4 linked regions of the Callithrix jacchus genome follow. The main gene of each other region encodes a partner of the protein of the gene in region 2 in a complex. Links are inferred from orthologs where the notes say so. Each region holds a gene or a part of one and is shown on either strand. Other genes may lie near its edges.

Region 1 (7,293 bases), on a different chromosome or scaffold from region 2:
AAGGGGTTAAACAATCACAAAACAAAAGGAATGGTTCAAGCATTCATCAACAGAGCCACTGGAAATAGGAGAGAAGCATGCAACCAATAAACAATGAGCAAGGTCTGTCCCCAGCCTTCAGTTACCACCTCTGTGCTCACACTTCCAAATCTTTCTGTCCAGCTTCATCACTCCCGAGCTACAGACCCACATATCCAGCAGCCTCCTGGACCTTCCCTCCAAACCTACGCCTCCGTGTTCTCATCACAGTGAATGGAGCTCCATTCCGCCTCATGATCCAAACCTAAAGCCTTAGTGCCCTCCCGGGAGCCTCCTCTTTCCTCCCCTCTGTCACCTCACTTAGGCACCAGGTTTTCTCAACTCTACCTTCCGAGTGTTTCTCCTATCTTCTCTACCAGGTCACAGTTCTTGTTAACCTAGATTACCTCAATAGCTTCGAAACTGGTATACATGCCTCCTGTCTCTCCTGCTTCAGTCCATTCTCACAGCACCCCAAGGTCAACGCTCCAAAGCACAAATGGGACACAACACTTCTCTGGCTCCCTCACTACTCTCAGAATGAAGTCACACTCTCCAAAAAGGTATACAAGGCCCTTTGGGACCTGGCCCTTGCTTACCTTTCTAGTCTATTTCTTACCCCTTTCCCGCACATCACTACAACTACACTGAGCTTCTTCACGTCCCTACAGAATACTATGCGGTCTTACTTGCTTCCTGGGCTTTGTGCAGCTATTTCCTCTGCTGGAATCATTCCTTTCTTCACTGAGCTAATTTCTACCAGTGATTCAGTTTTTGGCTTAAATATCACCTCTTTAAAAAGTCTTGATGCACCCTAGACTGAGTTAGGTATCTCACTCTCCCATGCTGTCCTAGTACCTAACACTTACTCCCATTTCATACTTATCACATTGCCTCTTCAATCTACATAACTGCATTACTCCTCCACTTGGGAGTATTTTACATGCCCAACACCATACCAAGCACTTTAAAATACAAAAAATTAGCTGGGCGTGGTGGTGTCCCAGTTACTTGGGAGGCTGAGGCAGGAGCATCTCATGAACTTGGAAGGCAGAGGCTGCAGTGAGCCAAGATCGTGCCATTGCACTCCATCATGGGTGACAGAGGGAGATTCTGTCTCAAAAAAACAAACAAACAAAAAAAGTCTCAAAAAAAAATTAAAAGATAGAAATAAGAAAGAGAAGGAAAAACTGAGTCTCAGACTTTTGCAGCAAACTTCTGCAAGGGAGTGGCCAAAGCAGGGATTTGAAGCCAAATCTCCGTGGCCTCGGAGACTAAGCTCTTAAGCACTGAAATCCCCCAACAGGCTCCCCTATAGGACCCAAGGGTGCTTGAATTTTACCACTCCAACACTCAGTCCTGGCCTGGGTACCCTGGACTGGAATCAGTGGAAAATTACAGGAATTGGGACTCCTAACACCAGGCTGGAATCCTCCAAAGCTATGTAGTGGGTGGAGGGGAGGCAGCACTGACTGAAATGCTTTAAACAACCCGTTTCCTTTCTTAGAACACCTGAGACCAGGAGGCGGCCAAGGGTATGGTAGGAAAAAAAGCACCATTTCTTTTTCTATTCCAGATTCTTCTCTCTGTGCTCCTTTTCAGTATTTCACTCCAAGAATAGCCCAGGCAGCATGGCATGATGAGAGCAGTCACGGCAGCAGGAGCTGCCACCAGACACTGGCATGTACCAGGCACTAGCAACGTGAGAGGCTCCCTGCATTTCAACCTCATTTTAGCCCTTTTCATGGATATTATTTCTTCTTATAAAGGTGAGAAAGGCGAGGCTCAGAGCCCTTAGTTTGTCTAAGGGTATATAACTATTAAGTAATACAGCTAGAATTCTAGCACAGTTCTGTCTAACTTGTCATTGCTTTTAGAATGCAAACAAATTGTCCCTAATGCTTGTTAACATGTAGATTCCTGGGTACAGAACAGGTCTGAAGTGGGACCCAAAAGTGTGCTTTCTTAAACAAGGTCTCAGGTGATTCTGAGGCAGAAGACCAACAGCTGGGAAACAAGGCACTATGAATGTTTTCTCAGCCTGTGTTCCTCAGAAATACCAGAGTCACAAAAAGTGACCAGACATCTGAAAAGAAAGAGGGGACAGGGAGTTTCTGTGGTTAAACACGTTTAAGAAACACTGCATATTATATTCCTTTCTGGAAGATTTACAATGTACATTAGCAAATTAAAATTTCTGAGCTGGACACAGTGGCTCAAGCCTGTAATCCCAGCACTTTGGGAGGCCAAGGCAGGTGGATCACGAGGTCAAGAGACCAAGACCATCCTGGTCAACAAGGTGAAACCCCGTCTCTACTAAAAATACAAAAAATTAGCTGGGCATGGTGGCGCGTGCCTGTAATCCCAGCTACTCGGGAAGCTGAGGCAGAATTGCCTGAACCCAGGAGGCGGAGGTTGCGGTGAGCCGAGATCGTGGCATGCACTCCAGTCTGGGTAACAAGAGCGAAACTCTGTCTCAAAAAAAAAAAATTAGCCAGGCGTCATGGCGCACGCCTGTAGTCCTAGCTACTCTGGAGGCTGAGGTAGGAGAATCCCTTGAACCCAGGAGGTGGAAGTTGTGGTGGGCCGAGATGGTGCCACGGCACTCCAGCCTGAGCAACAAGGCAAAACTCCATCTCAAAAAAAGGGAATTTTGAAAATGACTTATGGTCAACATTATTCAGCTATACTTAACAAGAGTATTTCCAAAACTTTAGTTAACTACAGACTCCTCCTTTATTAACAATATCTATTAACAACTTACAAGACTCAGCAAGTGGAACGGAGTTTAGAACACAAAGGCTACGTTACACTTTCTCCTAACTCCAGCCTGCACTGGCCTCTCTTTCCTACCTCTCTCTAAGAATGCAATCAGAGAAGTCCTAAGCTCTGGTCATGGCCTCACCCTCACTTACTACATATGACCTTTGAAAAGCCACTTAATCTCTTTGGGTTTGTTCCTTAGCAATAAATTAGGGGTAATAATACCTGCATGCCAATAGGGCCTTCATGATTAGGATAATGGAGGTCCAAATACTGCATAACCTGTACAAGACTGTAATCCCTGGAAGGGCTGTTACATCTTTTAGCATGTGACTATACTCATTTGAGCATTATGTAATATACCAATAGATCTTGTTTTCCCACTTTTCCTGTATGGGTTTCATCTTCTAAATAACTGTGTGATGGCAGGCCTCTGTGGGCTTCATTTCCTCCTCTGTAAAATGAGGGGACTATTTTGAGGGCCCTCCAGGCACTGGCCTTTTAGAAGCCTAGGAAAATCAAAACGCTGAAGGGCAACACGTTACACCTTACTATATACCAAATGCTTCATAAGCCTCACCTCCTTACTCTCCACAACAGCTTTCTAAGGCAGCCCCTATTATTCGGCCCTATTTTACAGGAGGACACTTGGACTCGGAACGACAAAATATTCAAGGGCTCACAACTATTTAGGTGGTAGAGCCAAGATGTGAACCTACCTCTGACTCCAAACTGCACTTAAACACCCTACTAACACCCAACAAAGAATTCTGGCCACAGAGTCACCTTGCTGTGGTATTCCTGGCTGAATCAAGATGGGCTGGGGAAGAGGCATCTGAAGACAGCCCGGGTTCTGACCTCGGCCCTGCTGGCTAACTGCCTGGTGACTTCAGGTAAGTTCTGTATCTTCTCGGGGTTCACTTTCCTAAAAGCGAAATGGAGGTGTTGAACTAAGTCAGTGGTCAAACCAGCTCACTTGTGGCGCCTGCTACAACCAGAGTTTCCTGATGACTGTGATGCAGTGCTGGGGTGGGTCCGGAAGCCTGGAATTTTATCCGACACCCCAAATGAGATCGATGGAACCAGAACTCTAAACGTCCGGTCATGGCTGATGCCCCCGCCCAAGGCCCCCGTGGGAGCCTTAGGAGGCTGGGGTCCAAGGTCCCCAAATTTTCGCGTGAGCGACGTCAAAGGGGGCGCGACACGACCTGCTAAATGTGCGGTCCTTCATGACGTGAGCAGGGCGCGACCGACGGTCCCTTTTCAGTTCTCTACAGCGCGAAGCCTCGCTGAAGCGAACCCATTGTGAGAAGTGCGCAGAGAAAGCGGGCAGAAAGAAGCGGGGGTCGCCGGACCTGCGCGGGGCACGGCCCCTACCTGGATTCACGGTCCCCTCACACACTCACCTGCCGGTAGGGATAGCTGGCCATGGCGATTCTGACGTCACACGCAGGCAAGGGGTGGGGCTTTCCGCTCTCAAACCCGCCCCTCGCCTCGGCTTTGGGGCTGGGCCCGCATCTTACTGGACGTCCCAGCCTGTCAATCTTGAGTGCTGTCGGCCGACGGAAGTGACGATGGGGGTGGTGGGAGGGTGCCTACCCGAGAGATCAGGAGAGTTAAGTGCCTGATGGAGCTTCCGGAAGTTTTGGTGGCTGCACCGGCACTAGTGTTCCTCCTTTTCCTGATCTGGAGTGGGCCTAAGCGGTGGTTAGGTTCGGATATTTAGTGAAAAGCCTGGGTGGGGTGTTGCTGTGGTAGCCATGTTATAACCTGGCAAATGGGACGCATGATAGTGACGTACAAGGGCGTCTCTCCCGAGTTTCCGCAAAGGAGAGCAGCCAGTGGGGGGAGGAGAGGAGAGGCGGTGGCCAGGCGGTTGCCCTGACAACGGGGAAACGACCGAGTCCTTCCGGAAGGGAGAGGCAATGGCGGAATTACTCCTCTAATGTCAAGACACTGGGTACCAGTTAGTAGCCTTATAGTGGGATACAGATCTGTGCTCTTTGGAGGAAAAAAATCCCAGACCGTTAGAGTTGGAGGAGAATTAAATTATGTAGTGTCTCTTTCTTCATAAATGGGGAAACTGAGGTCCACAGAGGCAGTGTCTTGCCTTAGCTCACAGTGGATGGCCTAGAACTGGGGTCCATGGATGTCCGGTTCTCAACAGGGAAGTCTAGGTCGGTCCCCATTGTAGGTCAAATCCTGGTGACTGAGTGATCTCAGTACCATGTAATTGCCACTCAGTGGTTCCGTTTCTACACCTGTGTGCTTATTTTATTAATTTTTCAAGTTCTTCCATGTGGGCAAGGGTTTTTGCTTGTCATTATTACCCCAGAACCTAGTACAGTAACTGACACGATTTTTAAAATAAAATGAATAAATGAATGTTATGAAGTGTTATCCAGTGTGGGCCCATCTATCTAACCAAGTGCACTTTCCAAAATCATGGGCAAGTGGCATCTGATCATGGATGCTCTTCATCCACGCCTACAAAATAAGGCCAAATCTTTTCATCCTGGCACTCCAGGCCCTTCAGAATGTGGCCCAGCCTTACCTTTCCAATGTTCTGCTACTCTGTATTCCTGTGCTCAGTGTCACCATTCAGCACTTCTGCTTTGGAGGGAGAATGTTTGTTTCATCACTTTCTAACTGTATCACCTTAGGGAAGATTTCTTTTTTTTTTTTATTTCCAGCTTTTAAGATCCGGATATATGTGCAGGATGTGGTTTGTGACATAGGTAAATGTGTGCCAGGGTGGTTTGTTACACAGATCATCCCATCACCTAGGTATTAAGCCCAGCATCCATTAGCCATTCTTCCTGATGTTCTCCCTCCTCCCACCTCCCCACACCCTCTGACAGGCCCCAGTGCGTGTCTATGTGTTCTCCTTATTCAGCTCCCACTTGTAAGTGAGAACATGCAGTGTTTGGTTTTCTGTTTCTGTATTAGTTTGCTGAGGATAATGGCTTCCAATTCCATCCATGTCCCTGCGTAGGACATGATCTTGTTCCTTTTTATGGCTACTTAGTATTCCATGGCATATATGTACCATATTTTACTTAGGCAAGTTATTTAACCTCTCTTAGTTTCAGTTTTCTTAGCTGACAGAAACAAATATGTAAATTTGAAAATTAGCTTATGGTGCCTGCTCATACCCCCAAACTTAGGTTCAAACCACTCCATTCACCTGGACCAGCAGCCCTCCCATCTCCAGTCCTGCAAGGCTCAGTTCCAATTCCATTCTCCACCTAACCTTCCCACATTCTCCTTAGCTCCAGAGTTAGCCACTCTCTCTTGCCACTCTCCCTTTGCACTTGGTACTGTCACTGTGCCATATTCCAGCCTACCTTGTATAGAAGTTTTCTTTTGATGTTTTCCTTAAAATCCATTGCTCTCCATCTCAGAAAATCCACCCAGTCTTTCAGGACAAAAACCTAAGATCATTCCTGTATGTCCTTTTTTTCTCCACACACTCCCCCACCTCTCTTATCTCCATATGCTGTGATTTAAAAATGTACACATCTGCACTCTTCTCCCTGTTCGCACTGTCACTGTAGTCCAAGACACTATCATCCATGCCTGGATCACTACACTAGCTGATTGACCAATGTTCCTGCTGTTATATGTAAATTCTCTTTTTTCTTTTCTTTCTTTTTTTTTTTTTTTTGAGAAAGAGTCTCACTCTGTTGCCCAGGTTGGAGTGCAGTGGTGCAATCTCTGCTCACTGTAATCTCCACCTGCCAGACTCAAGCAATTCTCCTGCCTCAGCCTCCCAACTATCTGGGATTACAGGCACACACCACCCTGGCCAACTAATTTTTTTGTATTCCTAGCAGAGAGGGGGTTTCACCATATTGGCCAGGCTGGTCTCGAACTCCTGACCTCAGGCGATCCACCCACCTCAGCCTCCCAAAGTGCTGGGATTACAGGCTTGAGCCACTGCTCCCAGCCTGTTATATGTAAATTTTCAGTGCCACAAAAGAAGTAGCACTCAAATATAAATTTTCTCAACAAGGCAATTTACTTCTATAGAAGGGTGTATCTTACAGATGGAGCAATGGCAAGCGCACACCTAAATACCTGAGTCAGGAGTTCTTATCCCTGACTCAGGTAGTCCCTATTGCTGTGTCATTGCCCTAGTGGCTAGGGTTGAACTGCAAAGTTTAAGCTAATTCCGATTGGCTATTTTAAAGAGAGCAGGGGTATGAACCAGAGTGGTGGGGTGAGCAGTTTGGTGGGAAAAACAATTATAGAACAGGTAACTAAAGGTAACTCAGGTCATAGCAGGTGACTAGGGGTGACTCAGGTCAAAGCAGGTGACCAGGATGAGTCAGGACAGAAAAGGTGACCAGGGGAACAGATGTGAACTACTGATCAGAACTGATGGAAAAGGCTGTTTACTGAAAGTACGAGGAAGTTAAACTTTGAAATGGGGGATAAAATACTGAACATACTGACATAATGATTATTTGAAGAGAAACTTAGAACTCATTGTATTCAATGCTGCTTTCA
Region 2 (7,360 bases):
GAGTTAGAGACCAGCCCGGCCAACATGGTGAAACCTGATCTCTACTAAAACTACAAAAATTAGCCAGGCATGGTGGCATGCACCTGTAGTCCCAATTAATTACTCAGTAGGCTGAGATAGAAGAATCACTTGAACTGGAGAGGGGACGGTTGCAGTGAGCCAAGATCACACCACTGCACTCCAACCTGGGTGACACAGCAAGACTGTGTCTCAAAAAAAAAAAAAAAAGGAGAAGAAAGTAAATCAGTGTATTGTAGAGATACCTGCACTCTCATCCATGCTTGTTGCAGCACAGTTCACAATAGCTAAGATTTGGAAGCAACCTAAGTGTCCATCAACAGATGAACAGATAAAGAAAATGTGGTACTTATTCTTGATGGAGTACTATTCAGTCATTAAAAATAGTGAGATTCTATCATTTGTAACAACATGGATGGAACTGAAGATCATGTTAAGTGAAATAAGTCAGGCACAGAAAGACAAACATCGCATATTCTCACTTATTTGTGGGATCTAAACAAACTAACTGAACTGATGAAGATAGAGAGCAGAAGGATGATCACCAGAGGCTGGGAAGAACAGTCGGGGTTGTGGGAAGGTGGGGAGGGTAATGGGTACCGAAAAAGTAGAAAGGATGGATAAGACCTGGTGTCTGATAGAACAGAGTGAGTATAGTCAACAATAATTGAATTGTACATTTAAAAATAACTACAAGCATACTTGGATTGTTTGTAATGCAAACGATAAATTCTTAAGTGGATGGATACCCAGTTTTCTATGATGTGATTAGTACACATTACATGCCTGTATCAAAACCTCTCATGTACCCTCTAAATATATATACCTACTATGTACTCACAAATATTAAGAAGAGAAAAAAAGAAGAAAAAAGATGTCTGAACTCGTTCCGTTGGTGTGACTTTCTTGCTAACGGCTTCTCCATCTTTCATTTTGTGAATAAAAGGAGTGGGCATACTCTAAACAAAGCCTGTTTTATTAAGTTCCTTCTCATATTTGGAAAAATCCTTAATTTAGCAGTCAGGAATTAGGCAATATCATTAAAGTACTATTTTACATTCTGAAAACAAGGAATTATTTTTACTTTTTATTTTTATTTTGTTTATTTATTTATTCGAGATGGTGTCTTGCTCTGTAGCCCAGGCTGGAGTGCAGTGGCGGGATCTCAGCTCCCTGTGACCTCTGCCTGACAGATTCAAGCGATTCTTCAGCCTCCGCCTCCCAAGTGGCTGGAAGTGCAGGTGTGTGCCACCATGACTAGTTACTTTTTTTATTTTTAGTAGAGACAGGGTTTTGCCATGTTGGCCAGGCTGGTCTTGGCCTCCTGACCTTAGGTAATCCACCCTCCTCGGCCTCCCAAAGTGCTAGGATTACAGGCATGAGCCACTGGACCAAGACTATTTTTGCCATTTAAAAAATTGAACATATAAAAATAAAAAAATTAATTGAACATATAAGGCCGGTCGCAGTGGCTCACGCTTGTAATCTCAGCACTTTGGGAGGCCGAGGAGGGTAGATCACAAGGTCAGGAGTTCTAGAGCAGCCTGCCCAATATGCTGAAACTCCGTTTCTACTAAAAATACAAAAATAATTAGCCAGTCGTGGTGGCACACACATGTAGTCCCAGCTACTAGAGAGGCTGAGGCAGAGAATTGCTTGAACCCGGGAGGTGGAGGTTGCAGTGAGCTGAGATCGAGCCACTGCACTCCAGCCTGGCTGACACAGCGAGACTCCGTCTCAAAAAAAATTTTTGAACATATAAATATATTTTGAGACGTGGTCTTACTATGTCACCCAGGCTGGTCACGAACTTCGGGGCTCAAGCAATCTTCCCACTTCAGTCTCCAGAGCAGATAGGACAACAGGTGCCCACCACTGCACCAGGCTCTGAACATTATTTATAATTCACATGATGAAAAATTCAAAAGGCAAACAAAAATTATAAAGGGCAAAACTCTCCTTCCCACCCTGTCTCACAGCCAAACAGTTCCTCTCCCCAAAGAAACCAATGTTACCACTTTATTTTGTCTTTCCAAATACAGTTTACACACACAAGCAAATATGAATATATCTTCTACGTTTTATTTTTTGTGGGGGGGATGAGTTTCCCTCTTGTTGCCCAGGATGGAGTGCAATGGCATGATCTTGGCTCACCACAACCTTTGCCTCCTGGGTTCAAGCGATTCTCCTGCCTCAGTCTCCCAAGTAGCTGGGATTATAGGCGTGTGCCACCATGCCCTGCTACTTTTGTACTTTTAGTAGAGACGGGGTTTCTCCATGTCGGTCAGGCTGGTCTCAAACTCCTGACCTCAGGTGATCCGCCCGCCTCAGCCTCCCAAAGTGCCGTGATTACAGGCGTGATCTTCCACCTTTTTACCCAATAATAGAGAATACAGATTGTTCACAGCTTCATGGTATTGGATTTTATGGATGTACTATATTTCATTGAATTGGTCCCCTACTAATGGACATTTAACGTTGTTGTCAATCTAATCTACAAACAATGCTGCAGTTTGTACATATGTAGTACATATCTTTTACATATGTAGTCTTACATGTGCATGTGAATAATTTTATTAAAATTGACAAATATTTCCAAAATGCCCCCAATAAATTTTATAACAATCTTGCATTCTTCTCTACAATGTGGAAGTCAGGGACAGTTTTAGACAAGGAAAACACGACATGGAAGATGGAGATGCAATGTAAATTTAGAATGCTGCCCACTTGGCTATGGTTTTAGTATCCTTAAGAATGAAAGGGCTGGGCGCTGTGGCTCATCCCTGTAATCCGAGCACTTTGGGAGGCTGAGGAGGGTGGATCACGAGGTCAGCAGTTCAAGAGCAGCCTGGCCAACATTGCAAAACGCAGTCTCTACTAAAAATACAAAAATTAGCTGGGCGTGATAGTGCGTGCCTGTAGTCCCAGTTCCTGGCGGGGCGGGGCTGAGGCCGGAGAATCGCTTGATCCCGGGAGGCAGAGGTTGCAGTGAGCTGAGATCATGTCACAGCATTCCAGCCTGGGCAACAGAGTGAGACTCCATCTCAAAAAAAGAAAGAAAAAGGGGGCTCACAGAAGAAAATAGTATTACCAATTTGTTGTCTAGACATTCAGATAAGTTGAACCAATTAACCTCTTTGCCTTTTCAGACACTAACTGCACCAAAATCAGTTAGAAGCGAACTTTCTTAAATTAACCTTCAGCAACCATAGCCTGGTGAAATGTCAGCAGGGGAGTAACAGTGGTGATAAGGCTGTCTAAGATTTCCCTAAGAAGATTCTTTCCAATTTCCCTCTTAATGTCCACCTTGTAGTGGCCACAAGTTCCTTTCACTTAATTGTCTTGGAGTGAAAGAAGTAAAATCACCTTAGTGGTGATGATAAGCCCCATTATGACGCAAAGTATATACGAGGTCTGTGGATCGCAGGGCTCAGAGGATTCTTGCGCAGCGTTGTTCGGCCCCAAGAGGTCATTGTGGACAATGGAAGGGAAGAAATTTGAGGCCTCCGTGGGTTTTCTCGATAGCAAAAAGTTCCTCAGTACCTGGAAGGTAAAACGCACTTCCTGCATTCAGATGTTTAGCATATTAAGCCTTAGAATTCTCTCCGTCTGCTCTGCCTCCTGAGCGGTGGGGAGGGTCTCAGGCTCATTCAATCGCCAAGCTGTAGAGCTATATTCCCAGGCTTCCTGCGGACCCCACACCACCCAACCGTCCGTCCTTCCTTCCATCTTTCCTTTCTTCTATCTTTCTCTCTCTCGCTCCCTCCTTCCTTTCTTTCTTTCTCTTTCTCTCTTGAGAGTCTCACTCTGTCGCGCAGGTTGGAGTGCAGTGGTTCTGCTGCCTCAGCCTCCTGAGTGGTTGGGATTACATTCGCACACCAGAACGCCCGGCTAATGTTTTTGTATTTTTAGTAGCAACTGGGTTTAACCATGTTGGCCAGGCTGGTCTCGAACTCCTGACCTCCAGTGATCCACCTGCCTTGGCCTCTGGGATTACAGGACTGACCACTATGCCAGCCCTCCCCCCGCCCCCCCCGCCTCCCCCCCCGCCCCCGACAGGGTCTCATTCTGTGGCCCAGGCTGGAGTGCAGTGGCTGTCAGGTCTCCATATGCAAGCCTGGAACCAGAACGTCTGAAGTCCTGCCTGCTGCCTGCCTCTGCTAATTGTCTCCCACCCCACCGCCTGCGTTGGCCATTGTCCCTAATCGCCCAGCAGAGCTTCCCCGGACAAGCCCCTCACCCCACCCTGCCATCTTAACTGTTCTTATGTTAAATGTGGATACCTCTCACCCCATCCTGCCATCTTAACTGCTCTTATGATAATGTGAATGCTCCTTGCCCCATCCTGCCATCTTAACTGCTCTTCCGCCTTACTCAACCCGCCATTGTAACTGAACTTGTGGTCATGTATACTCCTTGCCACTACCCCCGACCACTGTAACTGATCTTACTCTGCAACACCCTCGCCCCCCAAAATTACCCCAACTTATAGAACCAATTCCCACCCTTACTCTCTTCGCCTTTCTCAGATTCGGTCCGCTTGCACCCAAGCGAGAAATAAAATGTCCTTGTTGCCCACACAAAGCCTGTTTGGAAAATCTCTATATTAAATGCATTTAATTTTCGGTATTATTAGACGTGAATAACAGTGGCGATCCTGGCCCACGGCAACCTCTGCTGCCTGGGTTCAAGGGATTCTCCTGCCTCAGCCTCCGGAGTAGCTGGGACTACAGGCGCAGGCCACCACGCCGGACTAAATTTTTTTTTAAATTTTTTGGTGGAGACGGGGTTTTGCTGTGTTGCCCAGGCGGGTCTGGAACTCCTGAGCTCAGGTAATCCGCTCGCCTCAGCCTCCCAAAAGTGCCGGGATTACAGGGGTGAGCCACCGCGCCCCGGCCACCTGACCTTTTTCTAATTCGGCTTCATAGCAGTTTACAGAAGTCCCGCCCCCGATAAGGCAGGTCACGTGACACCGCCTCATCACGTGACGCGGACTCTGCGGCGGGAGGAGGGCGGTCCTCACGCTGCATTGCGTCATCACGTCGCGCGGCCGCGGGGTCCAGACCCGAAGGCTCCAGAGCCTCCGGAGCCTCCGGGTCTGGGCGGCGGCGGCGGCGCTTCGGCTCCTTGTGAGCCGCCTGCTGGCCCTGCGCCCCACCCTATCCCCACAGGCTGGGGACAGGCCCGGCGCGGCTGTGTGGGCACGGGAGCTGAGGTGAGTTGCGCGGAAGTGATGGCAGTCAGTCTTTCCCTTCCTGTCCATCAACTCCGGGTTATGGCCCTTCCCCCATCCTTGGTCTCCCTGCAAGGGAATCGGAGGCTCGCCCTGGATAGGAGGAAGGCTGCGTGGGGCGTCTGGCCTCGGTCGCCCTCTCATCTCTCCGCATACCTCCACCTGGCGGTGCTGGTCATATGTATGCCTGCTGGTGTCAGGGGGAAGGACTTCGTTTCTTTCTCTAGAATTTAGTCTTTCCCGAATGTATTGCCCCTCCCCTGCCTCGAATCTCCCGAAGTGGAATCCCTCTATTCAGATGTTAACGGAAGTTCTAGAAAATAGGTCACTTCAGAAAGGTGAGAGTGAAGGATATGCTGAGACTTGGAGTGGTGAGGCAGGAATCCCCAAGAAGGAAGACCACTTTGCACCAGGGTTACTGTCATTTTGATGTGGAAACGACAAACCCCCCTCCCTCCCAGATTGTCATCAAGGTAAATAGACATTTGTTTCGGACCCTTTTTACACCCCTGGAGTTGAAATTAAATTGACTTAAGGCTTCTTGAAAAACATCATATGCTTTGATGAATCACCTGCTTTTCTGTAAAATTGGTCTTGCAGAGTTGTTGGAGGGATTATCTATGGTGCTTGTAGTGTAAAATGCCAACTATAAACATAAGTAAATGAGAATTTAAGATCTCATTTTTCCTATTGAAAAATTGTGAGTTGTGGACTTTTAGAGACCGTCGTTTGATTCCCAACCTTGGATCATTTCAGAAAGTTTTGGATTCCAATATTGATTCGTTAACAGTAATTGACATTTACAGATGTAGAGTAGGAATACCTTCTTGTTGAAGAGCTTCAATAGCTTAAGCAAGTAAGTCCACTTGGGTGGTTTCCACAGTTCATTGTAGGTAATGGGTCCTCAATTGGTTTTTTGTTGTTGTTGTTGCTGTTTTTAATTTTTTATTTATTTATTTTTTTTCTGATGCATTCTCGCTCTGTTGCCCAGGCTGGAGTGCAGTGGCATGATCTAGGCTCACTCGATGGAGCAATTCTCAACTGCCTCCTGGGTTCAAGCAATTCTCGTGCCTCAGCCTTCCCAGTAGCTAGGATTACAGGCATGTGCCACCACACCCGGCTAATTTTTGTGTTTTTAGTAGAGACAGGGTTTCATCATGTTGGTCAGGCTGATCTCGAACTCCTGACCTCAACTGATATGCCCACCTCAGCTTCCTAAAGTCCTGGGATTACAGGCGTGAGCTACTGGGCTGGGCCTGAAGTTTCACTTTAAGAAGAAATCCAGATATATTTGGAAGTCATCAGACGTAATTATTTGCATACTTTAGAAAAGTACATTTTTACCGAACTTTCTTGCTCTAAGTTGAATACACACTTTTTTTTTTTGCATTCAATTCTAAGCATTTATTGTGCAACTTCTAGGATAGAAAGCATACATATAAAGCAGGATCTTCACCCTCTAAATGCTTATCTACTTATGGATATTAAATAGTAATGATATAATACCTTTAAGGAATTTTATATTTTATTTTATTATTATTTTTTTTGGGACAGAGTCGCATACTGTTGCCCAGGCTGTAGTGCAGTGGTGCAATCTTGGCTCACTGCAGTCTCTGCCTCCTGGGTTCAAGCAATTCTCCTGCCTTACAGGTGTGTGCCACCATGCCCAGCTAATTTTTTGGTATTTTTAGTAGAGATGGGGTTTCACCACATTGGCCAGGTTGGTCTTGATCTGACCTCGTGATGCGTCCGCCTCTGCCTCCCAAAGTGCTGGGATTACAGGCGTGAGCCACTGCACCCGGCCTATATTTTCATTGTATCATTTGACACAAGAACCTTGTGAAGATTTACAGGACATAGATTGTTTACTTACATTTCAGCGTTCATCATAATAAATGTCAAGTGGTAGGGACACTCCATGATAGAGGAATTCGGAGGAAGAAGAGAGAACTTTTACATGGACTAGATAGTAGCTAGATAGTGGTGGTTATGTCAGGTATAGGAGTGCCTTCTACTTGTATATGTTTGAGTCTGAGGAAGCCCCTTAGATTCTCAATTTGTAAAGCTAATAAATATGTTGTTTCCCTAGTTTTTTGAATATGCTCATTG
Region 3 (6,745 bases), on a different chromosome or scaffold from region 2:
GAATTAAATGAGAGCTGAGAACGTTGCCTAGCACGTGGTCAGTGTCCAATAAGGGTTAGCTGTTGTTATTATTGTTATTGTTGACATTGGCGAGGAAGTTTCTGCTGCCCCAGGGTGATTGGGTGCTGTGGTCATTTTTTTTGAGACAGAGTCTTGCTCTGTTGCTCAGGCTGGAGTGCAGCAGTTGGATCCTGGCTCACTGCAACCTCCACCTCCCGGGTTCAAGTGATTCTCCTGCCTCAGCCTCCGGAGTACCTGGGATTACAGATGCCCACCTTGTAAACACCCCCGGATAATTTTTGTATTTCTAGCAGAGATGGGGTTTCATCATGTTGGCCAGGCTGGTCTCGAACCCCTGACCTCAAGTGATCCGCCCACCTTGGCTTCCCAAAGTGCTGGATTGCAGGTGTGAGTCACCATACCGGGCCAGGTGCTGTGGTCTTTTGACTGTCTAATGAATTCATTAGATCTGTAGACTCTGTTACCCATGAGAGTGCAGAAGTAATCCAGGGGATTCAGGGAATGCTGTTGTTTGTCTACACTAGCAGTGCGTTGGCACTGCAGAGTCTATACAGACTCTGGAGTTCCCTGACCATGTGCTAGGCACTGTTCTCAGCTCTCTTTTAATTTCTATTTGATAGTTACTATTATTGCCTCCATTTTACAGATAATTATAGTCCAAGCAAAGAGGCTCATGGGAATTGTAGTCCATATGCCCACAGGGCCCCAGGGACCAAGCTCCCTTACCTCCTCCTTAGCTGACAAACAATGGGGTGGGCAAAGATTTAGTGGGAGAGGGAACTAACCTGTGTCTCCCCCTTTATGCAACCTGAGGAGCGAGAGAGGGTTTGGGATACGTACAGTGGCCTGGAGCAGGAGCTGGGCACCTTAAGAGAGACCCTGGAGTATCTGCTGCACCTCGGTTCTCCCCAGGTAAATCCCTGCTTGGAGACCCCAAGACCCACCCCCAACTCCAGCTTCTGCCTGGAAATCCTTTCAGCATTTAATCTCCGCCCACAGAATCCAGGCTCCGCCCACAGAATCCAGGCCCCGCCCAGTTCACTCTCCGTCTCCTTTCTGTCCGTTCAATCTAAGCCCCTAATTTTAGTTAAGACCATGCCCTTTAGGTTTTTGTTTGTTTTTTGAGACAGAATTTTGCTCTGTCACCCAGGCTGGAGTACAGTGGTGCCATCTCACCTCACTGTAACCTCCATCTCCCAGGTTCAGGTGATTCTCTCACCTCAGCCTCCTGAGTAGCTGGGATCACAGGCACGCACCACCACACCCAAGTAATTTTTTTGTATTTTTAATAGACATGGGGTTTCACCATGTTGGCCAGGCTGGTCTTGAACTTCTGACCTCAGGTGATCCACCTGGGCCTCCTAAAGTGTTGGGATTACAGGTGTGAGCCACCGCATCCCACCAAAAGGCAGTTTTTTCAATTATTTTTATTTATTTATTTATTTTGAGTTGGAGTTTCGCTCTTGTTACCCAGGCTGGAGTGCAATGGCGCAATCTCGGCTCACTGCAACTTCAGCCTCCTGAGTAGCTGGGATTACAGGCACATGCCACCAGGCCCAGCTAATTTTTTTGTATTTTTAGTAGAGACGGGGTTTCACCATGTTGACCAGGATGGTCTCGATCTCTTGACCTCGTGATCCACCCGCCTCGGCCTCCCAAAGATGCTGAGCCATCGCGCCCGGCCAGTTTTTTCAATTAAATTGGATAACCACTTGAAAAAAAAAAAAAATCCCAACTCCATCAATATAGCCCAGCTGACTTCAGGCCTTTGCAGGGGCCTGTTAGCTGAAACCCTCCTGCATTTTCCCGCCTTTAAGTGACAAATTCCTTTCCTCCCCACAGGACAGAGTGTCTGCTCAGCAGCAGCTGTGGATGGTGGAAGACACGCTGGCAGGTCTGGGTGGCCCCCAGAAACCGCCCCCACACACTGAGCCTGACTCCCCATCTCCCGTGCTCCAGGGTGAGGAGTCCTCAGAGAGGGAGGTAAGATGCACACAATTCTCTCCCCACCCCCAGCTTCCTGTCCCATCTGTCCTTGGCTTAGTCTATTCCCCTCCCACCTCTTTAATTCTTCCTTGATCAGTGAACCCACCTGACACAACTGTCCTAACCTGGAAGCCTTTGTTTTTTGGGGTTCTTTTTTGAGTCTCGCTCTGTCACCCAGGCTGGAGTGCTGTGGCATGGTCTCGGCTCACTGCAACCTCCGCCTCCTGGGTTCAAGTGATTCTCCTGCCTCAGCCTCCTGAGTAGCTGGTATTACAGGCGTAAGCCACCTCACCAGGCCTAATTTTTGTATTTTTAGTAGAAATGGGGTTTCACCATGTTGGCTAGGCTGGTCACGTACTCCCGGCCTCAAGTCATCCACCTGCCTCGGCCTCCCAAAGTGCTGGGATTACAGGTGTGAGTCACCACGCCCAACCAGGATTTTTTTAAAAAGACAAATCTCCAGAAAAAAATAAAATAAAGACAGATCTCACTCATTCTGTCGTCCAGGCTGGAGTGCAGTGATGTGATCATGGCTCACTGGAACTTAAGTGATCCTCCTGGGCTTAAGTGATCCTCTCACCTCAGTTTCCCAAGTAGCTAGGACACAGGTGTCTGCCACCATGCCAGGCTAATTCTTTGTTTTATAGAGACAGGGTCTCCCTATATTGTCCAGGCTGGTCTTGACCTCCTGGTTTCAAGTGATCCTCCCACCTTGGCCTCGCAAAGTGCTGGGATTATAGATGTGAACCCGCTGTGCCCAGCCTAAAAAGTTTTTGTAGGGAAGGGGTCTCACCAGCTTGCCCAGGTGGTCTCTAGCTCGGCCTCAAGTGATCCTCCCACCTTGGCCTTTCGAAGCACTGAGATGACAAGTCTGAGCTTCTGTGCTCAGATCTGGTTTACAGTCTTAATCCTCTTCAGACTGTGTTCTAATTGCTAAATGCTTGAAACATGTTAATAATAATAATAATGATAACAGACGGTGCCGTGGCTCACGCCTGTAATCCCAGCACTTTGGGAGGCCAAGACAGATGGATCACCTAAAGTCAGGAGTTCGAGACCAGCCTGGCCAACATGGTAAAACCCCGTCTCTACTAACAATACAAAAATTAGCTGGATATGGTGGCGGGTGCCTGTAATCCCAGCTACTCGGGAAGCTGAGGCAGGAGAATCACTTGAACCTGGGAGGCGGAGGTTGCAGTGAGCCAAGATCATGCCACTGCACTCCAGCCTGGGTGACAAGAGCGAAACTCCGTCTCAAAAAAAAAATTGCCAGGCGTGGTGGAATATGCTTGTAATCCCAGCTATTCGGGAGGCTGAGGTAGGAGAATCACTTGAATCCGGGAGGCAGAGATTGCGGTGAGACAGGATTGCGCCATTGCACTCTAACCTGGGCGACAGAGCAAAACTCTGTCTCAAAATAATAATAATAATAATAATAACGACGACCATCATTATTCCCTTTTTCTTATCCCTGAAGAGCCTGCCTGAGTCCTTGGAACTGAGCTCCCCTCGGTCTCCTGAGACTGACTGGGGGCGGCCTCCTGGAGGTGACAAAGACCTCTCCAGCCCTCGCTTAGGTGAGCATCCTGGCCGGGTGGGAGTTTCTGGAAATTCCCACCCTCACCAAGTCCCACTCTGTATTTGTAGGTCCTGGGTCTCCAAAGGTCTCCCGGGCTTCCAGCCCCGAGGGTCGCCACCTCCCTTCCCCACAGCTGGGAACCAAGGTAGGCTATAGATCCATCCTGTAATCCTTGCCTCTGACCATCAGGGACCCCCACACTTCTGGGGAAACAGCTAGGAGTAGGGTTCTAAGGCCACACTCAGAACAGAGGGAACACTGCTTGTTAAGAGCACTGAGATTAAATTTTGTCTCTGCTGCTTCTAAACTGTGTGACTTCGGGTCAGTTATTAAATCTCTCTGTGACTCCATTTTTTCATCTGTAAAATGGGGCTACTAGCAGAACCTACCATCCAGGGCTGACATGAGGATGAAAACTAGATGTATGAGGCCAGGTGTGGTGGCTCATGCCTGTAATCCCAGCACTTTGGGAGGCCAAGACAGATGGATCACCTAAAGTCAGGAGTTCGAGACCAGCCTGGCCAACTTGGTGAAACCACACCTCTACTAAAAATACAAAAATTAGCCAGGGGCAGTGGCGTGTGCCTGTAATCCCGGTTACTCAGGAGGCTGAGGCAGGAGAACCACTTAAACCTGGGAGGCGGAGGTTGTAGTGAGCCTGGATCATACCATTGGAGTGGTGTGATCACTGTACTCCAGCCTAGGCAACAGAGCGAGACTCTGTCTCAAAAAAAAAGGCCGGAAGTGGTGGTTTACACCTATAATCCCAGCACTTTGAGAGGCCGAGGAGGGTAGATCACCTGAGGTCAGGAGTTCAAGATCATCCTGGCCAAGATGGTGAAACCCCGTCTCTACTAAAAATACAAAAATTAGCCAATGTGGTGGCGCATGCCTGTTAATCCCAGTTACTCGGGAGGCTGAGGTAGGAGAATCACTTGAATACAGGAGGTGGAGGTTGCAGTGAGCCAAGATCTTGCCATTGCACTCCAGCCTGTGCAACAAGAGCAAAACTCCATCTCAAAACAATAACAAGAGCAACAACAAAAAGATATACTCCCTGAGTGGGGCAGAGAGCTGATCTCATGTGGTCCTGAAGTTCAGAAATAGGTGGACTTCCAGTAGCAGGAATGTTTAGGAATTGGTTGATATTAATCTGTGGAGGCTCTGTGTCTGCTGCTGATTGGCTGGTTTTCAGAAGCATGGAATTATCACTGATTGGCTGATTTTCAGAAGGACAGATCCATCACTGATTGGCCAGCCTTCAGAAGCATGTGACTGTCACTGATTGGCTGATTTTCAGAAGCACAGATCCATCACTGATTGGCTGGCTTTCAGAAGCCTTTGGGGTACCTGTTGGGATTACTTGATAAAATAGATTTAAAAGCATTTCTTGGGGCTGGGAATGGTGGATCACTCCTGTAATCCCAGCACTCTGGGAGGCTGAAGCAGGCAGATTACCTGAGGTCAGGAGTTTGAGACCAGCCTAGCCAACATAGTGAAACCCTGTCACTACAAAAATACAAAAATTAGCCAGGTGTGATGGCGGGTGCCTGTAATCCCAGCTACTCAGGGGGCTGAGGCAGGAGAATCACTTGAACCCAGGAGGCAGAGGTGGCAGTGAGCCAAGATTGCACCACTACACTCCAGCCTGGGCGACGGAGCGAGACTCTGACTCAAAAAATAATAACGATAATGAAATACATAAATAAAAGGATTTCTCGGCCGGTGGTGTCGGTTCATGCCTGTAATCCCAACACTTTGGGAGGCCAAGGTGGGTTCATCAGTTGAGCCCAGGAGTTCAAGAGCAACCTGGCTAACATAGCAAGACCCATCTCTATAAAATAAATAGTAAAAAGGCCGGCTGGGCACGGTGGCTCGTGCCTGTAATCCCAGCACCTTGGGAGGTGGAGGCGGGTCAATCACCAGGTCAAGAGATCGAGACCATCCTGGTCAACATGGTGAAACCCCGTCTCTACTAAAAATACAAAAAATTAGCTGGGCATGGTGGCGCGTGCCTGTAATCCCAGCTACTCAGGAGGCTGAGGCAGGAGAATTGCCTGAACCCAGGAGGCGGAGGTTGCGGTGAGCCGAGATCGCGCCATTGCACTCCAGCCTGGGTAACAAGAGTGAAACTCCGTCTCAAAAAAAAATAATAATAAATAATAATAATAATAAAAAGTTAGCTGTGGCCGGGTACAGTGGCTCACGCCTGTAACCCCAGCACTTTGGGAGGCCGAGGCGGGTGGATCACCTGAGGTCAGGAGTTCAAGATCAGCCTGGCCGACATGGCAAAAACCCATCTCTACTAAAAATACAAAAATTAGCTAAGTGTGGTGGCACACACCTGTAATCCCAGCTATTTGGGAGGCTGAGACAGGAGAATCGCTTGAACCTGCTGGGTGCCAGAAGTTGCAGTGAACCAAGACCATGCCATTGCACTCCAGCCTGGGCGACAGAGCAAGACTTTGTCTCAAAAAAATAATAAAATAAAAAGTTAGCTATATGTTGTGGTGCTACTTGGGAGGTTGAGGCGTGAGGATTGCTTGAGTCCAGAAGGTCAAGGCTGCAGTGAGCCATGATCGCACCACTGCACCTCTAGCCTGGGCAGCAGAGGGAAACCGTGTTTCAAAAAAAAAAAAAAATGTATTTCTGGTGCTTACTTGTCATCATGGATACAAAAGCAATCAAGACTTTCCTAGGAAGAGAGGAGGGGCACATTTTGATTCTCAGTGGTATGAGTCATGGGCTGGATGATGGGAGCCTTCTGGAAACATCACGTATCTTGGGACATGCTCCTCCCTCACCCCAGCACCATGGTTTCAGGGGCTGCCAAGGTCCAGAGCACACAGGTGGTCTAGTGAGTTCCAGAAGTTTCAGGGCTGAGCAAAGAAAAACCTATGACCGCCAGATGACAGTGGCACACAGGAGCTTTATTTGGTGGACACTGACAGATTTGTCTATGGGGGAAGTCACACCCAGTGTGAGACCCTCCAAAGGCTACTGTGTGAGGGTGAGGACCACTGCACAGGAGGAAAGGGAAGGGAGCTCCCAAGAGAGGGACCGGAGAAGGGCCTTATCTTTTTTTTTTTTGAGACAGAGTCACCTTGTCATCAGGCTGGAGTGCAGTGGCCCAACCTCAGGTCACTGCAGCCTCTGTCT
Region 4 (7,181 bases), on a different chromosome or scaffold from region 2:
CTGAAGTATATACAAAGTTGGGGCCAAATCCAATGTGGTCTGTAGTTTACAAACGGTGAGATGTGAAAAAGGATGTGATGGCAGGTCCCATCTGTCTCATTCACCCCAGTTTCTGACATATAGTAGCCATTCAACAATAATTCTTGAATAAATGAATAACTGAACAAATAAATGAGCAGACTTCTTAATGAAAAATTCATTTTGAGTCGTTTTTCTGACTGCTGGTGGTTAAAAGCCAAGGGAAGACACAGTTCATAATGATTCTTTTAGCTGCAGCTAAATTTTGGTTAAGCAACACCAACATATGAAAATCTAGGCTCACAAAACAAACATATTAGAGTTACCATATTTACTATATGCTTTACAATTAAGTAGAAATATACCTTAATGTAGTGAGTTCCTAAATGCTGGCCTGTGACGTCTCCTTAAGTTCAGAGTGAAATGAGAAAAATCAGTGTGATGCATTGTTCATCCTGAGGCTGGTAAATTCAAGAAACTGTCATTTATTCAAAAATGGATCTTCCCCATTTCTGAGGTTAAAATACATTTTAATAAATGATGGGGATAGTCTATGCTAATTGTTCCCTTTTAATGCCCTTGCCAATATAAAGTCAAACCTATATTGACTCCCTAGCTTATCAGAAAATATTTTAGTGGACTGAGATCCAAATGTCAGTGACTGGCTTAGTTTCAAAATACGATTTATTTTATAAAAGCATACAAGTGTTTTTTTAAAAGAAACCTACCTATTGAATAAAGGAAGTAGTATAACCTTGGCTTTAACGCCCATGTTAGTAACAGCCAACAGGTGGCAAGTGGCTGCTCTCAGGGCACTGAGAGCAATGCCCAACTCTCAGGGCTTCTAAAATGTATTCACTTATTCAAATTTCATAGTAGCCCAAGGAGGAAGTACTGTTATTGTCTCCATTTTACAGATGAGGAACTCTAGGCATTGTCAACTCCATGTCCCAAAAGACACATAACACAGCTAGTAAAGTGGCAGAATTGGGATTCAAACAATGGCTCCAAGAACATATATATATTTTTTAATATATATTTTTAAATTTCTTTTTTTTTTGCCAAGAAGGCTGAGATTACCGTGAGCAGAGATCACACCACTGTTAAATTTCTTTTTATGGTTCCTCAGAGATCGCTGTTCTGAACATATATTCTTACAGTAAAAGAAACTGGGCCATAAGAGTACAACCAACAGGAAAACATTGTTATTATATTCTAATATTATGGAAATGAAGGTTCAATTAGCATACAGATTATAAACTCCAATACAGACATTATCTTATACTGAAGTCAGAGCCCCTCCCAATCTTTGTTTATTAACTCAATTCTTGATAACCTATTTTTAGCTTCAGTATTTACAGATATTATCTTAAGCAATATCCTTGTTTCTTAAGCTCTTGCTTTAATTAGACAATACCAAAAAACTCCCACAAAAAAAAAAAAAAAAAGAAAATATGGTATTTGCAATGGGGCGTTTCAACCGAGTAGGGGATTTAAGCGCAATAACTCATAAGCTTACTAATTAGAGTTAATTTAGGGCAAATTCAACCTTACAGTCAACAAATGTGTATTTCACTTTATATTAAGTTTGCTATTTAAAAGTATTACAATTTCAGCTTCTAAATGTACATATCTATCCCTAAAACAGCTGTTTCTTTAAAACAGGAAGATGACAAACTTTAGTAGGCACTCACATACTCCCTTGCAGAGTCAGAAACCCAAACATAACAGCACTTGGGCAAGTAGGTAAATGAGGAAGTACAGTTCATAATAAATGGACAGCAAAACCATGAGTCAGATTAGACATTTTGAATATAAAATGATCAAACCCCTCTCCCCCAAAACCCAAAACTTTTCAAATATACAGCAACTGTATCAGACAGTAATTTTGGCTTTAAAAACCTACAGTACTCTTGGTAATAGTAGAAATGACTCATCTGGTTGGTTAAAGTTAGGTTTCTATCATTCCATTTAACATCATTTACCAAATGCTGCATTTCATTAATGGAGCTGTTATTTTTTTCTGATAGTAATGAAAAACAGGTTTTAACATTAATAAGCCCGGGGTCCACCAGAAAATATCAGTGAATCAAGAGGTCCCGAAGCTTTTGCAGTTTAAGGGAACTTTGTAGATTAAATTTCCACCCTCCAGTCCTGAGAGCTGTTGTGTGGACACCCAGTCCGAATACCTTGTTGAGCATACAGGACAGTAATTTCCGATCATGCAGGTAACTCCTGCACAAACTCTTCGTTCTAGTTGCTGGCTTCTGCTCAAGTACCCATCCCTAGTCCATATGCCCTAGAAAAACATAGGAACCAGTTCGGGACGTAGTTATCCATCTAGCACCCCACGCTCCTCCTCAAGACTAAATCTTGCCCCAGCCCAGTAAGGCCCAGCCCACTACAATCCTGCTCCTGCTCTCCAAACTTCCCCCGCCCACTCCCCCCACGTGACCAGGAACCCCCCTCCCCCCCAACCCCACTTGAAGTTCCACCAATCAGCAACCACCTCCGCCCAGAACCGGGGACCTGGCGCTCCTCTTTCAAAAGGCAGCTTAAACCTCCCGCTCTTAGCCACGCCCTCTTTTCGCTACCCCGCCCCGCCGGCCCCTACCACTCCCCCCAACTCCCCATTCCCCTCCTCCCCTCTGGTGGCGTCCTCCCGCTCCCGGGTTTCGCCCCGCCCCACAAGGAGTAGCGCGCTCGCCCTCTTCTCGCGAGATCTGAGCGTCCCCGCCGCGGCCGCCCGCTTCCCCCTCCCGTCCTCCCACCTCCCTCCCCCCGCATCTCTCACTCTCCGGCTCTCCTCCCTCCCTCCTCCCCCCTCCACCCTCTGGGCCGGATCTCGTCTCGCTCAGGCGGAGGAGGAGAAGGAGGAGGAGGAGGACGACGTTCGGCCTGCGCAGTGAGATGTTTGTCCGTCGCCGCCGCCGCCGCCATCGCGGAGGAGCGCGATAAAGGGAGCGAAGCCGGGCCTGAGGGGGACCCCGTGGAGCAGCCGCGCCAGCGCAGCCCCCCAGCCGCGTCGGAGCCGCCGGAGCCCGAGCCGCCGCCGTCCCCGCCGCCGCCGCGGCTGCTCAGGGGCCGGCCAGCTCCCTAGCCCTGCCCGGGTCCGCTCCGCCACCGCCCCCAGCGTCGCCCCTCGCCTGCCCGCCCGCCTTAAATGTGACACCGGCGCCGCGGAGCGCGACCTGAAGCCGCCGCCGGGTAGGGGACGAGCACCATGTCGAATCTGAGCAAAGGCACGGGCAGCCGGAAGGACACCAAGATGCGGATCCGGGCCTTTCCGGTGAGTCTCTCCCCGGCGTCCGGGACCCCGGGGCCGGGGGCCGAGCCGAGAGCCGCACGCGAGGCCCGGGCTGAACTCCCCCAACAGGCCGCAGGCCCGGCCTCCCCTCCCCCACGCCCGCCGGCCGCGAGGCGCGAGCCTTCCCAGCAACCGGGCGGCGCGGGGCCCCGGCGCGGCCGCCCTCCCGGGCCGTTCCCCGCGCCGGGAGCCCGGGCCTGGCCCCGCGCCCCCGTCTGCGAGCTGCTTCTCCAGCCGCCTCGTGGGCGTTGGCTGCGGCCGGAGCCCCTCGGCCGCCCCACGCCTCCCCACGTTGCCGGGGTGTAGGGCCAGTCTCCGGCTTTGCTGGCTGCGGCGGAGTCCTCCCTGTGTGGGGCATGTGTGCAACTTTTCACGTGGGGTTTCGCTGCACTTTCCAAAATAACCCAGTCTAGCTTTTAGGGTGATGAAAGGGCTGCCCTCTCTGTCCCCCTCCCCAGGAAGGGCTCTGCCCTCAACTTGCCTCCGACGCAGTGACAGTGGTTGCACGGAATGCTCTGTGATCATAAACTAGTAACATGGGGTGTATTTCATCCCGCAAGCCTCCTAAGCACTTTACAAACTCTTGTGCAGGATTGCCTCGCCACTCCGAGGAAGGCCGGGGGAAAGCCACAGGGAGCAAACCGGGCAATTGGTTCTCCATTTCTCAGCCTTGGGAGCCCAAAGAATGAGCTTAGTCGCCTTGTGGAGTTGCTTTCTTTCATCGGTTTCAGTGACAGCAAACGCGTTCTGCTCAGAAACTTACTTTTTTGGCATTAGGTTGAGTCGTACCCTTTCAGTGTTTAGGACATAGGGTATAACTTTGGGTGTCATATCTGATTCAGATACCTGATGGCAAGCAATTAAAATGTACTCTTGTTAACAAACTGGACATACTTGCCCATGTTGCTACAATAAAAGGCATACATCAAGACAGACCAACTAGCAATCGGACAGAAGATTTTAAAAAGTAAAATTAGAGAAAGATCTTGGTCTTCCCGTCTTAGATTCGCAAATACTTCATATGATGTGCAGGCATAAGAGAGGGATTTATTGTCACTTTTTAAAGCATGCTTTTCCTGAAGTGCCCTTGTAGTGGGGAAAAGACTTGTTATCTAAATATGATTGCCCCAGTTGAGTCAAGTAATTTAGTCCCAGAGAACCTGAGGACCTCTGAATTCCTAAAATTGAAAAGGATACACCTGATGTAGAATTCTGAAATGCAAGAACATTAATACTAAAGTCAGTGTGAGGAAGCTTCTGCTTTCTGTAAATAGGTACGATGTATTTGGGAGAATTAAGTGTTTTTGATAATAAAGGCTTTTTGAATGTTTCAAACTTTTTTCTAAGTAAACGTGAGAAATTACATCAGGAAGTCAGCAGTGTTGACAGAGTACTAACGAAGTTCACTAGTATGTTTTCCTTTATAATTGGGCAAAGAGCTGGCTTTATGAATTTGTGAGTAATATTAATAATTTTCCTGCTAAATTCTGACCATTTTAAAGTAGAGTTTAGAATTTAGAATTTTATGAAGTTAATAGTTTTGTACAACAGATTTTCTAGGAGTGTTTGCGGTCCTACACTCCTCATTCTTGAATTCGAAAGTTCTAAAGATTTTTTTCTAAAACGTGGAGTAACTCACATTTGACATCGACTCACTCAGGTTAATGGCCTTCTGATTGACCAGTTGTACTTCCATCTGTGTTTAATCAAACTCTTTGATGTCTACAGGTTTCCCTGATCTTACCTGTTTTGCCATCATTTCATTTGTTCAACAAATACTGAATATTATGTGCCAGGCGGTCTTGTGAGGGTTTGTCAGTATAGCTAAAAAGACCAAGATCCCTGCCTTCTGGAGCTAGTATTGTTGAGGAGAAGAGATGGGAGAGAATTTCATATTCCTTTAGCTGACCAGTATAATAAAATTGTGTGATAGCTTACCACGTAGTACTGGAACTGAATTTTTTTTTTTTTTTTAGCTTCGTTTATGGTTATGAGCTAATTTGGGCCTATTCTGTCTATAACTTCTCTTTCAGGTTATATGTAAGTGACTAGTTTTGATATTCAGTAGTTAATAGCTGTTGATTTCTAAAATTTTTCATTACTGTTTAATAAGTATTAATAACATTCATAAGTGGTTCCCATTGAAAATAACAATTCTAGTTTGGCCGGGCGTCTGTGGCTCACGTCTGTAATCCCAGCATTTGGGGAGGCCGAAGCAGGCAGATCATGAAGTCAGGAGATCGAGACCATCCTGACCAACACGGTGAAATCCCATCTCTACTAAAATACAAAAAATTAGCCGGGCATGGTGGTGGGTGCCTATAGTCCTAGCTACTGGGGAGGCTGAGGCAGGAGAATTGCTTGAACCCAGGAGGCAGAGGTGGTGCCATTGCACTCTAGGCAACAAGAGTTAAACTCTGTCAAAAAAAAAAAAAAATTATAGTTTGAGACTTGGTTACAGATAGCTATATATCTCAGTGGTATGGTATTTCATAGATTTATCTTGTTAACCATGTGCTTGTAGACCTTCAAAATTCCAGTCTTCCAGATTGGCAGTTTTATACATAACTGCAGACTGCATGAGTTGATGGTCAAAAGTAGTTAATGCATAGTATTACATAAAGAAAAAATATGGCCAGGCAGGTGAATCACCTGAGGTCAGATGTCTGAGACCAGCCTGGCCAACATGGTGAAGTCTCGTCTCTACTGAAAATACAAAAAAAGTGGGGCCTGGTGGTGGATACCTGTAGTCCCAGTTACTCGGGAGGCTGAGGTTGGAGAATCGCTTGAATCTGGGAGGCGGAGGTTGCAGTGAGCTGAGATCACACCATTGCACTCTAGCCTGGGCAACACAGATCAAGCCATAGCACTCCAGCTTGGGCAACAAAAGTGAAACTGTCTCAAAAAAAAAAAAAAAGAAATATTGTTTATGGTTATACATAGGTACATCGTTGTTTATGGTTACACATATGTACATATTTAAAAATTATTGTATTTTACATCTGTTATTTGGATATATAGCTACTGTAATTTAAGAGAAATTATAGTTTCACCGAAAGTCCAGGCATAGTGGCTCACACCTGTAATCCCAGCACTTTGGGAGGGTGAGGTGGGCAGATCACCTGAGGTTAGGAGTTGGAGACCAGTCTGCCCAACATGCAAACCCCTGCCTCTGCTAAAAATACAAACATTTGCCAGGGGTGGTAACATGCACCTGTAATCCCAGCTACTTGGGAGGCTAAGGCATGAGAATCACTTGCACCCGGGAGGCAGAGGTTGCAGTGAGCTGAGGTGGTGACACCAGCCTGGGTGACAGAGCAAGACTTGTCTCAGGAAAAAAAAAAATTGTATATGTTTAAGGTGGACAACATGAGGTTTTGATAATTGTATACATTGTGAAATGATTACTACCATGAAGCTAACTTATAATCACCTCATAAATACTTGTTTTTTTTTAATGTCTGTGTGATGAAAACAATTAATGTCTACTGTCCTAGCAACTTTCAAATATACAATATAGTATTATTAACTATTCTTACAGTGCTGCACATATGATCTCCACAATTTATTCATCTTACAGCTTGTACCCTTTGACCAAAATCTACCCCCCAACTCCCCCAACCCCCGTTTCTCTCATTCCCCAGCCTGGACCACAGAGCGAGACTCTCCTGAGTCTCAGGTGCATTTCAGACTGTTTTACAAAATTGACTTGTAAAAAAGTGTAGAATTATGTTTTGAGATTGTTTTCATTGCAAAATAGAGTGGTAATTGAACTTATAGAATATTTTACAGATGCATAATATTATTCCAGATAAATTTTCAAAAGTAAAATCAGATTCTTTGTAGTGTTTTGAGT

The links.
Region 1: the proteins of KLHL12 (region 2) and PEF1 are in contact, whole or in part, in a crystal structure (PDB 8RBH), measured with the Homo sapiens proteins. The link is inferred for Callithrix jacchus from reciprocal best matches to the Homo sapiens genes KLHL12 and PEF1. Residues at the interface, in NP_067646.1 of Homo sapiens: Phe289, Gln293, Arg320, Tyr321, Leu371, Glu417, Tyr434, Ile439, Phe481, His486, Cys511, Tyr512, Tyr528, Leu533, Cys558; in NP_036524.1 of Homo sapiens: Gly15, Gln16, Ala17, Pro18, Gly19, Ala20, Pro21, Pro22.
Region 3: the proteins of KLHL12 (region 2) and PLEKHA4 are in contact, whole or in part, in a crystal structure (PDB 8OIO), measured with the Homo sapiens proteins. The link is inferred for Callithrix jacchus from reciprocal best matches to the Homo sapiens genes KLHL12 and PLEKHA4. Residues at the interface, in NP_067646.1 of Homo sapiens: Phe289, Arg320, Glu417, Tyr434, Ile439, Phe481, His486, Cys511, Tyr512, Tyr528, Leu533, Cys558; in NP_065955.2 of Homo sapiens: Pro177, Gly178, Gly179, Pro180.
Region 4: KLHL12 (region 2) and CUL3 share a complex: the UniProt entries of both Homo sapiens proteins name them as parts of the BCR(KLHL12) E3 ubiquitin ligase complex. The link is inferred for Callithrix jacchus from reciprocal best matches to the Homo sapiens genes KLHL12 and CUL3.

Annotation. Positions count from the first base shown.
Region 1 is NC_133508.1:68,255,081-68,262,373, forward strand, and holds the start of PEF1 (peflin), read right to left. Parts: upstream 4,224-7,293; 5' UTR 4,212-4,223; coding exon of another isoform or gene 4,188-4,211; 5' UTR 4,013-4,187; coding exon 3,990-4,012; intron 3,707-3,989; coding exon 3,640-3,706; exon of another isoform or gene 3,568-3,639; intron 1-3,567. UniProt on the Homo sapiens protein: Calcium-binding protein that acts as an adapter that bridges unrelated proteins or stabilizes weak protein-protein complexes in response to calcium.
Region 2 is NC_133520.1:29,967,597-29,974,956, reverse strand, and holds the start of KLHL12 (kelch-like protein 12), read left to right. Parts: upstream 1-3,394; coding exon 3,395-3,568; intron 3,569-5,044; exon of another isoform or gene 5,045-5,604; coding exon of another isoform or gene 5,605-5,724; intron 5,725-7,360. Other genes in the region: transcription and mRNA export factor ENY2-like, read right to left, coding at 3,385-3,408. UniProt on the Homo sapiens protein: Substrate-specific adapter of a BCR (BTB-CUL3-RBX1) E3 ubiquitin ligase complex that acts as a negative regulator of Wnt signaling pathway and ER-Golgi transport.
Region 3 is NC_133523.1:42,689,808-42,696,552, reverse strand, and holds part of PLEKHA4 (pleckstrin homology domain-containing family A member 4), read left to right. Parts: intron 1-834; coding exon 835-933; intron 934-1,863; coding exon 1,864-2,004; intron 2,005-3,484; coding exon 3,485-3,584; intron 3,585-3,654; coding exon 3,655-3,731; intron 3,732-6,745. UniProt on the Homo sapiens protein: Binds specifically to phosphatidylinositol 3-phosphate (PtdIns3P), but not to other phosphoinositides.
Region 4 is NC_133507.1:146,310,422-146,317,602, reverse strand, and holds the start of CUL3 (cullin-3), read left to right. Parts: upstream 1-2,925; 5' UTR 2,926-3,241; coding exon 3,242-3,307; intron 3,308-7,181. UniProt on the Homo sapiens protein: Core component of multiple cullin-RING-based BCR (BTB-CUL3-RBX1) E3 ubiquitin-protein ligase complexes which mediate the ubiquitination and subsequent proteasomal degradation of target proteins.